3 linked regions of the Daphnia pulex genome follow. The protein of the gene in region 1 binds, or shares a complex with, the protein of each later gene. Links are inferred from orthologs where the notes say so. Each region holds a gene or a part of one and is shown on either strand. Other genes may lie near its edges.

Region 1 (3,752 bases):
ATACTATTAATAATTTAATAACTATTAATAACATCAATTATTTTATTAGGCTCCCGTTTTAGCTTCTCAATTTCTAGAATACGTCCGTCACATTCAGAAACTTGGCAATAATGAAGAAGAGAACGTGGTGTTGGTACACTGTTCGGCCGGAATCGGACGTACGGGAGCGTTTATCCTGCTAGATTCTGTTTTACGGCTCATGGAAACCGATTGCCCCATCAATCCTATCCATTTGATAAAGATGATGCGGGATCAGAGACCTATGATGCTGCAAACTTCAGTAAATAATGTCTTCCCGTTTAAAGCTTACTATCATATTTTGTTGTTATAAAAATTATTATTTCTAGATTCAGTTCCAGTACGTTTGCGAGTGCATCATCGAGAGTTTGCAAGGTTGAATAAGGTTGAATTACGTGTCTACCGGGAAATTATTATTCAGTCTATAGGAATCCCAAAATGACTGGGAAACTAAGTTTAAAAAAAAGAAGGCACTAGTCAAGAAGAGCGGCATCTACCATCTATTCATCAATTGATGGATTTGGCTGAATCTCAGCACGAGGCAACTCAATCCAAAGATATTTTCATTTTTATACATTCTAACCCAAATAGCTTTGTTCACTGCTACCAAAAAATTAACTAACTCATTTTGCTTCCATCGCATATTTGCCAATGGATTATTTGAAAAAGAAACTCACATTTTATAGCTACAAGTGCTAGATCTTCCACCATTTTGTGTTCCCAATCGAACAAAATACATTTCGTTTTTTTATTCTATGTTTGCCGACTTTTCAACACAAAAAACTTTTCTCATTCTGCTTTTGTGCTTTTAATTGGAATCGCAAATTTGCAATTCGCAACGTCGCAAGGGAAAATTCGTTGCTTTGGTTATGGTAAAATGTTGCAACTGTGTGAATCAGCAGACGACTGTGAGATTATTGTCTTTGTTGATGTTTTGGTGTGAATCATTTCCTTTGAATTCTATACCCTTTGTCCTATCGAGTATTGTCCCCAACTTTATCATTTCCTTTAGTTTCAAAATCCGTTGATACTTATTTAAGCTGCCCAGGGAAAACCTAGGGCTGTTGTGATCATTGCGATGCATCACATGACATTGATGCAAGAGGGCCCGATTAATACTCTTGCCCTCAATCGAGACTGCAATAAAGTTGTTGTTACCGGCAGAAATGGTAATGCTAATAATATTAAAACATCGAAAATTTAGTTCTGCTCACATTTTCATATTTTAAATTTTAGTTTTCAAGGTTTGTGAAATCAAAGACACAGGTTTTGTTGAAAGAGACAATATCCGAACAGGAAAGAATTCCAATCTAAATTTTTCTTGCAATGATGCCTCTTGGAATCCAGTTGATGGTAAACTTCTTCACTGATTTTAAGTTACATGATTTAACATGTCTATTTAACTAAATTTGTGTAGAGCAATGGCTGGCCACTGCTGCCACTAATGGAGCTGTTGTCTTATGGAACATTCAGAAATCTATTAAGCTCAAACAGGAAACAGTTTATAATGATCATAAAAGGACAGTTAACAAGGTATTATCTTAAATTTTTAGTTGCCTCATTTTGTTTGAAAATGCTTTTATTGGGGGAGAATGTAGGTGACTTTTCATGGCTCAGAACAGAACATGTTACTTTCAGGAAGTCAGGATGGGACTATGAAGTATTTTGATATCAGAATGAAAGCTGCAGTCATGACATTTGTCAGGTAAAACAAACTGAAATGTTATTAAAACTTGGATCTATTTAACTAACATTGTATGCATTCTCGAAATTTTAGCAACGCAGAGAGTGTACGAGATGTGCAGTTTAATCCATACCAGTGTTTTAGTTTCGCCGCTGTGTCAGAGAACGGAACCGTTCAGTTGTGGGATCTCCGGCGCCAAGACCGATCTGAGAAACAGTTTACAGCACACAGTGGACCCGTTTTCGCTTGCGATTGGCATCCTGAAAACAAATCGTGGCTCGCCACAGCCGGTAGAGACAAAGCCGTCAAGGTCTGTTTTTGGAAATTTTACGCGTTTATATTTTAATTTTTTTCCTCAGCCAGATGACGAACGAATGATTCAGCATTATACCATTAATAGGTTTGGGATTTGGGTTACCGACCAGTGTTGGAATACACGGTAACAACAATGGCTTCAGTGGGCCGTATTAAATGGCGCCCTCAAAGGATGCATCATATCGCCAGCTGTGCACTTGTTATCGACAGTGTGATCCACGTGTGGGACGTTCGTCGGCCTTATATCCCGCACGCTTCTTTTAACGATCATAAAGACATCACAACTGGTATTGCTTGGAGAGGTTCTCCGGACGTTCTACTTTCAACTAGCAAAGTCTGTTATATGAAAATGTTGAATTAATTTTTTAAAATCTTATCTGATTTGTTTAATCAAAATTTACTTAGGACTCTTATCTCATCCAACACGTTATTGCTGATGCTGAAAGGCCAATGGAAAAGGCCAATCCCATTTGTGTCACTTATAATTCTAAAGGAAGTTTGACATTGGCAGCAGTTGATAAGAACTCCAAAAAGAGTAAAATTCTGACACTGTGAGTTTTTTTTTTAAATTATATTTTCCATTAAAATAGACTATTTAATTTGTTAAACTGTTTTGTTAGACCCAGAAAATCTAAGTCTGAGTCTGAAGACTATCCGGCCGTCCGGTGTTCTATTTACGTTTTTGAGAACGAGAAACCCACACCTGCGCAAGTGTTTCGGGATTGCGCACGACATTACTGGCTGCAGACAACGACGGGAAAATCTTTGGGTGAAATTTGTGATCATAATGCAGTCGTGGCATCAAACGCTGGTCGGATTCAAATCGCCACGATATGGCGAGTTGTCAAACTTCTTTTTGGCTTTTCCGGTTTGGAATTGACTTCAACTTCCGCGGTGACGTCAGTCGGTTCCAATCGACCGACAACCGTCAGCAAAGAAGAATCAGAGCCAGGTGATTCCGGTATCAAAGACGCTTCAACTCGACCCAGCACGAGACACCAGTCCGGAAATGTCTCATTTCCCAATCAGCAGGCAACACAACAGTCTGAGACTTTGGTAAATGGAAGTGGATCTAATAACAGTAATAGCGCCCCAACGTCCAACAGTAACGAACGCGGAGTCTCGGACACTTCTGGAGGTGTCAGCGAAGAAGCCGAATCCGAGGTGGAAGACATTGATTCTCAGGTAAAAGGATATATGGGTGACAGTCGTTGCATTTAAAAAATAAATTCTATCATTTGATTAGGTCATGCTGTCACATATTGCGAGCGGTTCTCACTTTAATACGAGCGATTTTTTCTTCGGGGATGCCGAAGCCGATGTGTTAAATGACTTTAATGGAACTTCAGACTCTGTGCAAGGCAGGAAAATTAGTGGAGATACTGACCAGCAGCAGCAGCAACAACAGCAACAGTCGAATCAGATGGATTGGATTTTACCTAGTGAAGCCTTTCAGCTTCGTCACGAAATCAAAGATCGGTCTCCACCTCCGGAACACTTTCCCAGTCGCTGCTTTGCTGGAACTCGTATTGAAGCTCAGATGGTAGAGGTAGAAGACACGACGTCGGCTCTTTTGTGTTTACCTGGATCGTCCAGTAGTCTCGGCACGACCTGCTGGAGTGGCGTTTCTAACGCTGTAGAGATGGTTTATCACATGGCCGAAGACGGTGATGTCCAAACAGCCGTTTCGCTAATTTTAGTTTTAGGAGATCGGATTCGTCACATGTTAAATGAG
Region 2 (3,732 bases), on another chromosome or scaffold:
GGGGCTTCTATTTTCTTTATTGTTTGTTTTGTTTCTTTTTTCGTCTATTTTTCCCCCCGCCGTTTTAACAGCCGAAAAGATTGTCAACTAGCCGACAGATTTACTGGTGTACCTTCCAGCCCGCGCTCTCTATACGGCTGCTGGAAATATAACTCGCCCGCGTGAGTGCCCCCCACCTTGTCTAGCGCAAGGGGAAACGGTAAAAAAATAAATTCCACAGGCATTCTACTATATAACTCGCTCGACTTTCAAGACGGTGGGAAGCCAGCAATGACTCCTAACGAATCGCCAAACACGAAGGCGGGCGTTCCCGTTCATCTCTCGACACCGGGGCAGCACCACCATCCCAAGTGGCGTGATAACAACGGAGGATCGAGAGGACTTGGTGGGTTGTGTGTGTGTGCAATCAAGACGGATCCGATTGCAAACGATGGGGAAAGACGTGCAAGGTGATCCTCACCAACGACCGTTGAACTTGCTGCTCCTCCACAATCGAAAAGAAAAAAAAAGTGGCCATTATAAAATTTATTATTGAAACTTAAATCAAATGATACAAAAAGATATGGGGTCGGAGGGAACGGATTTCACTTCCACAGGACGCAGATGTCGACATCGGCTTCGATTTTGTCGTCCAGTTCGTGGTAGGACAGTCCGGTGCGGCAGCAGATCTCGTCGTAAGAGGCCACTCCAGTGCACAGCCGATGCAACGAGGTCATCTGTTTCTTGTGCGATCCGCGCTGCGTCTCCGGTTTGTACACCGGATACTAGCCCATTCAAACAGCGTGCAAATTGAGTTATCAGTTCAATGGGAAATGGGTTATTCGAGAACCGACGTCCAGGAAGAAATCGAAATAATCAATTGGATTAATCAACAGCGCACACTCGCTAACCTTGCAAATGCGGCGGATGATGCCCTGCAGGACGCCAAACTGGACTAGCCGATGTTCGTCGATGCGAAGCGCGTGCGGATTGAAGCGCAAGCACAGGTCTCTTATGGTAGTCCCGTACGTCATCCCACTGTCATCGATTACAAAATGAATTCATTTAGGGGGGATTTGATAAGAATTAGAGGATAAACTCACCAGTACATTTGGAAAACATCTCGGAAGGAAGGAGGATGTCTATCTGTAATATAAACGAGAGAAGAAATTCACAGTCAACTTGAAAAGTGGATAAGATGATAACAAGACACTTGGTATTCTTCTCTACCAGATTTGGCAACAAAAGCGATGCACTCTCGACTCAAATCTGAATTCATGGGCAGTTCTCGGAGTTTGGGTGTAGCGGCGTACATGTTGCTGTACTGGAAGATGGGAATGAGCTGGACGACGCCGTAATATCTAACCGAAAAGAGAAAATAAGGTCAAGAGAAGGACAGCACTTGACTACTATATCAATTGACTTACAAGAGATTTTGAATGCAGGCTTTGACCAAACCAATGTCCACGTCGGCCTCGATTGCCACTCTAGCGACATGGCTGCGTCCATCAATGTATGGCAGTACCTTACGCACGAAAAAGGGTTATTAAAATGAATAAAATAAGAGAATCATTTTCGTTTACCTGTTTGGTTGTTAGGTCCCAATAGTCTTGTTTTAAAGGAGAAAATTCTGACGTGAACACGGGAACGTGGTGGTCAAATACCAGGGGTGGCTCAGCAGCTACTTGGATCACTTTTAAGTGCAGTGTTGAGGTCCCAACTGATCAAATCAATTTGTAAATGTCGGAAACGGAAATGTTAGACAAAAAATGAGAATCTTCATGTACCTACCTGTAACTGTGCACAAGCCACCCCGATTGAGATCACTTAGAATTTGACCTAAAATTTTGGGCAACTTGGCCCTGTTGGATTCAGTGGATAAAAAATTCTGTTCAACTTCCAGGGTGACCAAATGCTCAGCTAATTTCCTAACTACAAGCTCATACTGCACTGTTCTGGCATCAGAGTCACACACAAAGCACAAGTTGAAAATGAGAAAGTTACGTGGGTATTTTTCATCTGAAATGCGCACTGGATATCCTGTAGGTTTTAGAAAAAAGGATGGTAATGAGTCAAAATACTTGGACTGTTAGAATTCTTGAATAAAAACCTGTTATCTTGTGCCCTAGTACATTCACTGTAATGATACAACTGTCCAGCTGCTCTTTAGGAATGATGTAAACACTAACTGCATCAAATATTTCTTTGGAAACATAATCCTCTGGCACCTTTTAATCGATATTAAGACAAAGCACTGAAACAACAAAATTACTTTATTTTACACACCACTACACCATTACCTGGTAACTGATTTTGGGCCCCAACGTAGGATGAAACTCGGAAAAAAATATTGCTTTGATCATTTTTCTATTTGATTTACTCGACTATATCACTTGGATAGTCAACCTATGAAAAAGGATTTCTTTAACATGAGTAATTCACATTAAAAATCAAAAAAATTAGTTAAAATGATAAGGAACACACAAAATCGCCCCTTTATTTGATTTAGGCTACCGTCTGAAGCGCCATGTGAGGTCTTGTTTACAGAAACGCCACCATTTCAAGCCATCACTTATTTACAGGGAAATTTTTCAAGTAACGAAGTTATAGTGATTTAGGTCCAAGGCACTTGAATTTGATTAGTTTGCAATATTCGCTGATTAATCGGACCTGGAAAAGTGTCTAAGAAATGACCATTTTCTGCCTCTCAGATTACACATAAACATAAACATCAACGTCAGCGCCGCGTAGCGACAATCTTATCGTCTTTCATCACAAACTGTTTGATTACGAGTTTACGACCGAAGTTGGGCTGGGGCGGGAGGGGCAGCACTAAAAATTTACGAAAACGAAAATTTGAATTTGAACTGTTTGATTACGACCGGAGATTGGGCTTGGCAGGGGCGGGACCAAGGGCCAAGTAGTCCAGTCATTTTAGCTGAAAAATATACGAGTATACCTAGAACAAATTTTAATTAGAAATTTTTCATGAACACTATTTCTAATTTTTTTTCTTTAATTACCAATGAAGGAGGACAAAAGCGACCATTTGGATCGTTTAAAAAAATGTAAATGAAAATTTGTAATTGGGAATTAGGGGTATAATTATAACGATTTATAAATGTTTAATACATGTAATCATAGTTTATCTATCAATAAACATGTGTTGCAAATTTGAATCAATTTGATTGACATTTACTATTTTTTCATGAATTTATTAGTTATACACATTGTTTTTTATTTAAGAAATTTTTTCGCCGTGTTTAACACGGCGCTTATGGCGGAATCCCAAAACTAAAAATTCATACTACATAAGAAAAAAAAACACCCGAAAATCCCCACTTAGTCTTATTTTGAAGCCCGTTTATCCTTCTTTACTTTTTTCAATTACATTTATCAAAAGTAACACAGCAAAAAAGTTATTGGAATAAGAAAAAAATACCCTTTTTCCAGTTTTACCAAATGATTTATAACACACCCACAAGGGGGACATTTTTTGTTGCCGCTGCAACTTTATCTCGACTAAAAAATGTCCCAGTGTCACTATCAGCTCTTGTTTGAGCTTCGTTTTTGTGGCCGAAGTGTCGATGAAGATGACAGCTTTCACTCCTCATGGCTATTGGCAGTCTCGTTGCAATTGCTACGATGCTTTGGTCAGTCATATGGGTCTGGTCTGGGCAATAACCACTTACACTATGGGCGTAATAGCTTCATCGATGATTCGGGAACTTTTTTTGGTTTAATTCAGAAACC
Region 3 (3,752 bases), about 940 kb from region 1:
TCTTCACAAGAAAGGTGCTTTGGAGACTTAGAATAGCTTTTTTAATCTCTATCGATTGACCCTTCTTAAAAAAATATGATTAAAAATACACCCGACAAGCTATAACACGGCGGGATAGGACGTGAGTCCCGTCCTCTAGCTTTAGTAGTCCATGGTGGATACAACAGGCCTTAACCATAGAGTAGGCCATGGGGTAACTAGGCTACTACTACTATAAAAATGTTGGCTGTTAGATCTTTCAATAGACTTATTTATTTCAAAAGGACACAAATTGGAATCCAAAATGAACAACTGAGGTATGAATTTTGAAATATTAACTTGTGCATCTGTGTGAGTGTGACCTTATTATGGAAAATGAGTATGTGACAAATAAATAATGATGGTATATTTTTTTCTAGGACTGTTATGCAATCTTGTTGCAGTAGATCCACTAAGCAACCAGAAAATCCTGATATGCCTTTGTCATTTTCCAACTCAAACGCTGCCAAATGGTCAGCACAACAATCATTTAGTGGTGGAGGAAATACTGGTGAATCTCCATGGTATGAGCCATTTGTGATTTCAGCTAGTGTTACTGCCATACTAGTGTGGTTTTGTGTCCTGAGAGAAGAAAATGATGTTGATGATAAACTTGGAAAAAGTTTATATGACAGAGTTGATGGTTTGGAGAAGAAACAATTGGAATTGGCTTTGAAGCACAATATCCAAGGAGTGGATACAGTAGCCATTAAGAAGAGACTAGATGAATTGTCAACAAATAGTTGAATTTCCTATCTGTAAACATAATTTAATTGAAGTTGAAATACATTAAGTAAAAACCAGTTTATTGTTTGGTAAATTTTTTGCGATTCTCCTTTTCAAATCATTTGTTTGCTATTTATTTTTTTTACGTTGAATCTGTGAAGAAACCGTAGATGGCACTGTTTTGTTTTTGATTTTTAAGAATGCAGACGAAAATTGAAGCAAATCTCAAAAATTGACAGTTTGCGTCTTGCGTGGTGTTTCTGCCTCTAAACGCCTGAAGTTAGCGAGAAAATTCATAGAAAAAGAAGCATGGATGTCAATCCGTTGGCGGTAATTTTGGGTAAATATATTATTTACAGATAAAGCTTATTTCAAAAGAAAATATTTAATGGGAACAAACGTGGCTTTAGTCGAAAACGGTAGCAAAGGTGATCGTTTGTTGTTTCGCTATCCTTATGATACTCAAGCTACACCAAACTTTGCAAAACGTACACGCGCAAGTAAGTTCCTTACGAAACTCCATAACTTCCAGCGCAAGTCTCCAAGTTTTTTCTCTGTTGTATTGTATAGAGCAACTGCAAACTCCATACCCCCAGATCAGTGCTGAAGATATGCAAAAAACAAGTGCAGCATATTCCAGTACAATTAGTGGTAGTGTTCACAGCTTTCCAAGCAAAGTATGTTAATATACTCTCTTAATATAATCTGTTTTGAAACATTGAAGGTTATTAAAACATTTTTTCAACTATTTAGGTATTATCCAATTTGTTTGCTGTGAAATCAGAATTGTGTGGAAAAAAATTTGAAATAAAAATAAATGACATTCGGTTTGTCGGTCATCCACTTCTTGTTTACCACCAGGGTGAAGGCAAATCTGCTGGCTCTAGCCAGGAATCAATTTTGTCTTTCAATGTAGTTTTTGCCTTAAAGGTAAAGAGATTCCATTTTAAACTTGCATGATTTTCATCAATATTTTTTACACTTCTAAGGCATCTGCAAGTCATGCAGTAGTTGACTGTTATCATGAAGTAAGCAAGAGAATAGCAGCTGCACTTTGGCATGAAGAGCGTAGAGTGGCATATTTGAGTGAAGAAGCCAAGGTCATGACATCCACTCAAGATGACATTTCTTCGGAATTGCCCGATGATCCACTAGATGTGCCGTACCATTTAATTTTACAACGAAGTCAGCTTGCGCGCGACTTGCGTCGTGTCTACGAAGATTTACAAATTTCTGGGAAGATACATTTGCGCATCAATCGATGGATTCTGATCAGCTGCTGTTTACCTCAAAAAATCTACCACCTTCTTGACCCTGGACTTGTTATTGAACCAGCAGACATTCATGCTTGCATGGAAGCATTGAGACCATACCACGCCATTTTGCTGCTTGGGGACAAAGAAAAAATCATCAATAATCTACCTCTTGATTCGTCCCCCGCTTTGAAACGACTCATAAATCTTGCGAATCCCCTAAAAAGTTTACAAACTTTAGCAGCCGATGCTGACTTGACGCTATCACACGTCTTTCAATTAGTGGGTCACATGCTATACTTTGGACACGCAACCATTATATATCCTCTTTGTGATAGCAATGTTTACGTCCTTGCAGGCAGTGCCAACACTTCCCCACAATCCAAACTTGCTGATGTCTTCTCCGAAATGTTCAATAGTGCTTGTTTAATTCAGATTATGTCCGAATTTTCCGTTCCTGTATCATTGAGCCAGAGAAGGAATCCACTCGCCACTCCAGAGCAAGAATCAGAGGAAATTAAAATTATTATTTGGATGCTGCAACATCATTTGCTCATACAATTGCACACATATGTACATATTGTCGTTGATGACATGCATCCGAGATCATTTAACAAGGGTTCATTTCGTAGTGCCAAAACGGTAAGTTTTTGTGTTTAAAGTATAACGATTACTGTAGTTAAATCAGACAGTATTGTTTGAATTATCCCCTAGACGCGTGTAACGTTTGCAAGTCGCCAGTCCACTCCAGATGAATTGAATGCTGGATCCAGCCTTACACGAATGCCCAGCGATAGCGACATGGCCTCTGTTATTAGTGACGAGGCTTTGTCCAGTCCACCTTCACATAAGAGCATCAGTAGTAAAGCTCCGTGGTCAATCGAAAATATTCTTTCGGCCTCTCTGAGTAATGCTGAAAGAGAGGCTGTCCTTCAAGTTGATGCCGCTGCCAACTCAGAAGACTTGGAACTTTTTGCTCGGTAAGCTAAACTATTATTTAAAAACATCTTTTCATGAATAATCTAATAGAAGAAAACACAGGCTTTGCAAATATTTCCGCGGGAAACACCATCTAGAGGAAATCATGTACTTGGAAAATGTTCGAAGATCGGACCTACTTCACCTTATTGACAAATTTCGAACTATTCTCATTACATTCGAACATGAAGATTCAGCTTGCTCCGTTTTCTACAAGAATTCTACAACTTAAATATCATATTTTTCAGTGGAAATCAAAATTGGTGAATGTTATATGGAAGTCGTTTTCACTTGATTTAAGTTAAAAGCGGTATGTGAACATTGGCGTTAACACTAGCTCGCATCAAAAACCCTCCCTATTGGTCTCCTACGAAGCCGACTGTTGCCGTAGCTCAATACCTGTGTCTACATCGCAGCTTGCGAGGTAATCTTACGTCAGGAAGTCGGTTGGGGGCTAGTGACAGATAGGCCAATGTCGCATTCCTGTTCAACCTTTGTAAACTTTAAATTTTATCTCAGGACAGTATATGTTTTATTTGCTATTAAAATATGAATTTTCCTAAATATTTTACAAAATCCTTAGAATCAAATTTGGCAGAAAGTGAGATTGCTAATTGTTTGGTAAAGCAAGAATAAATATATCTACTTTTACATATGTTAGCTCTACTTTACAATTGTGCATGGTAATATTCACCTTTATGAGGAAGCAAAATAGATGGCAATGAATGAAGTGATGATGACGTACAGTGGTGAAATATTACAAGCTAAAACCTGTTT

The links.
Region 2: GATOR complex protein WDR24-like (region 1) and GATOR complex protein NPRL2-like share a complex: the UniProt entries of both Drosophila melanogaster proteins name them as parts of the GATOR complex. The link is inferred for Daphnia pulex from reciprocal best matches to the Drosophila melanogaster genes Wdr24 and Nprl2.
Region 3: GATOR complex protein WDR24-like (region 1) and GATOR complex protein NPRL3-like share a complex: the UniProt entries of both Drosophila melanogaster proteins name them as parts of the GATOR complex. The link is inferred for Daphnia pulex from reciprocal best matches to the Drosophila melanogaster genes Wdr24 and Nprl3.

The regions. Positions count from the first base shown.
Region 1 is NC_060022.1:5,701,256-5,705,007, reverse strand, and holds the start of GATOR complex protein WDR24-like, read left to right. Parts: upstream 1-900; 5' UTR 901-1,096; coding exon 1,097-1,187; intron 1,188-1,254; coding exon 1,255-1,371; intron 1,372-1,435; coding exon 1,436-1,551; intron 1,552-1,616; coding exon 1,617-1,723; intron 1,724-1,795; coding exon 1,796-2,012; intron 2,013-2,102; coding exon 2,103-2,351; intron 2,352-2,422; coding exon 2,423-2,568; intron 2,569-2,637; coding exon 2,638-3,202; intron 3,203-3,263; coding exon 3,264-3,752. Other genes in the region: tyrosine-protein phosphatase non-receptor type 4-like, read left to right, coding at 50-280, 348-398. UniProt on the Drosophila melanogaster protein: An essential component of the GATOR subcomplex GATOR2 which functions as an activator of the amino acid-sensing branch of the mTORC1 signaling pathway.
Region 2 is NC_060028.1:1,956,983-1,960,714, forward strand, and holds GATOR complex protein NPRL2-like, read right to left. Parts: upstream 2,730-3,732; 5' UTR 2,464-2,729; exon of another isoform or gene 2,386-2,463; 5' UTR 2,343-2,385; coding exon 2,280-2,342; intron 2,208-2,279; coding exon 2,090-2,207; intron 2,020-2,089; coding exon 1,771-2,019; intron 1,700-1,770; coding exon 1,563-1,699; intron 1,505-1,562; coding exon 1,407-1,504; intron 1,341-1,406; coding exon 1,210-1,340; intron 1,126-1,209; coding exon 1,083-1,125; intron 1,018-1,082; coding exon 891-1,017; intron 765-890; coding exon 585-764; 3' UTR 511-584; downstream 1-510. UniProt on the Drosophila melanogaster protein: An essential component of the GATOR subcomplex GATOR1 which functions as an inhibitor of the amino acid-sensing branch of the TORC1 signaling pathway.
Region 3 is NC_060022.1:6,641,751-6,645,502, forward strand, and holds GATOR complex protein NPRL3-like, read left to right. Parts: upstream 1-943; 5' UTR 944-1,053; coding exon 1,054-1,084; intron 1,085-1,154; coding exon 1,155-1,244; intron 1,245-1,314; coding exon 1,315-1,421; intron 1,422-1,497; coding exon 1,498-1,674; intron 1,675-1,733; coding exon 1,734-2,639; intron 2,640-2,711; coding exon 2,712-2,977; intron 2,978-3,038; coding exon 3,039-3,207; 3' UTR 3,208-3,630; downstream 3,631-3,752. Other genes in the region: uncharacterized protein LOC124195566, read left to right, coding at 220-296, 399-765. UniProt on the Drosophila melanogaster protein: An essential component of the GATOR subcomplex GATOR1 which functions as an inhibitor of the amino acid-sensing branch of the TORC1 signaling pathway.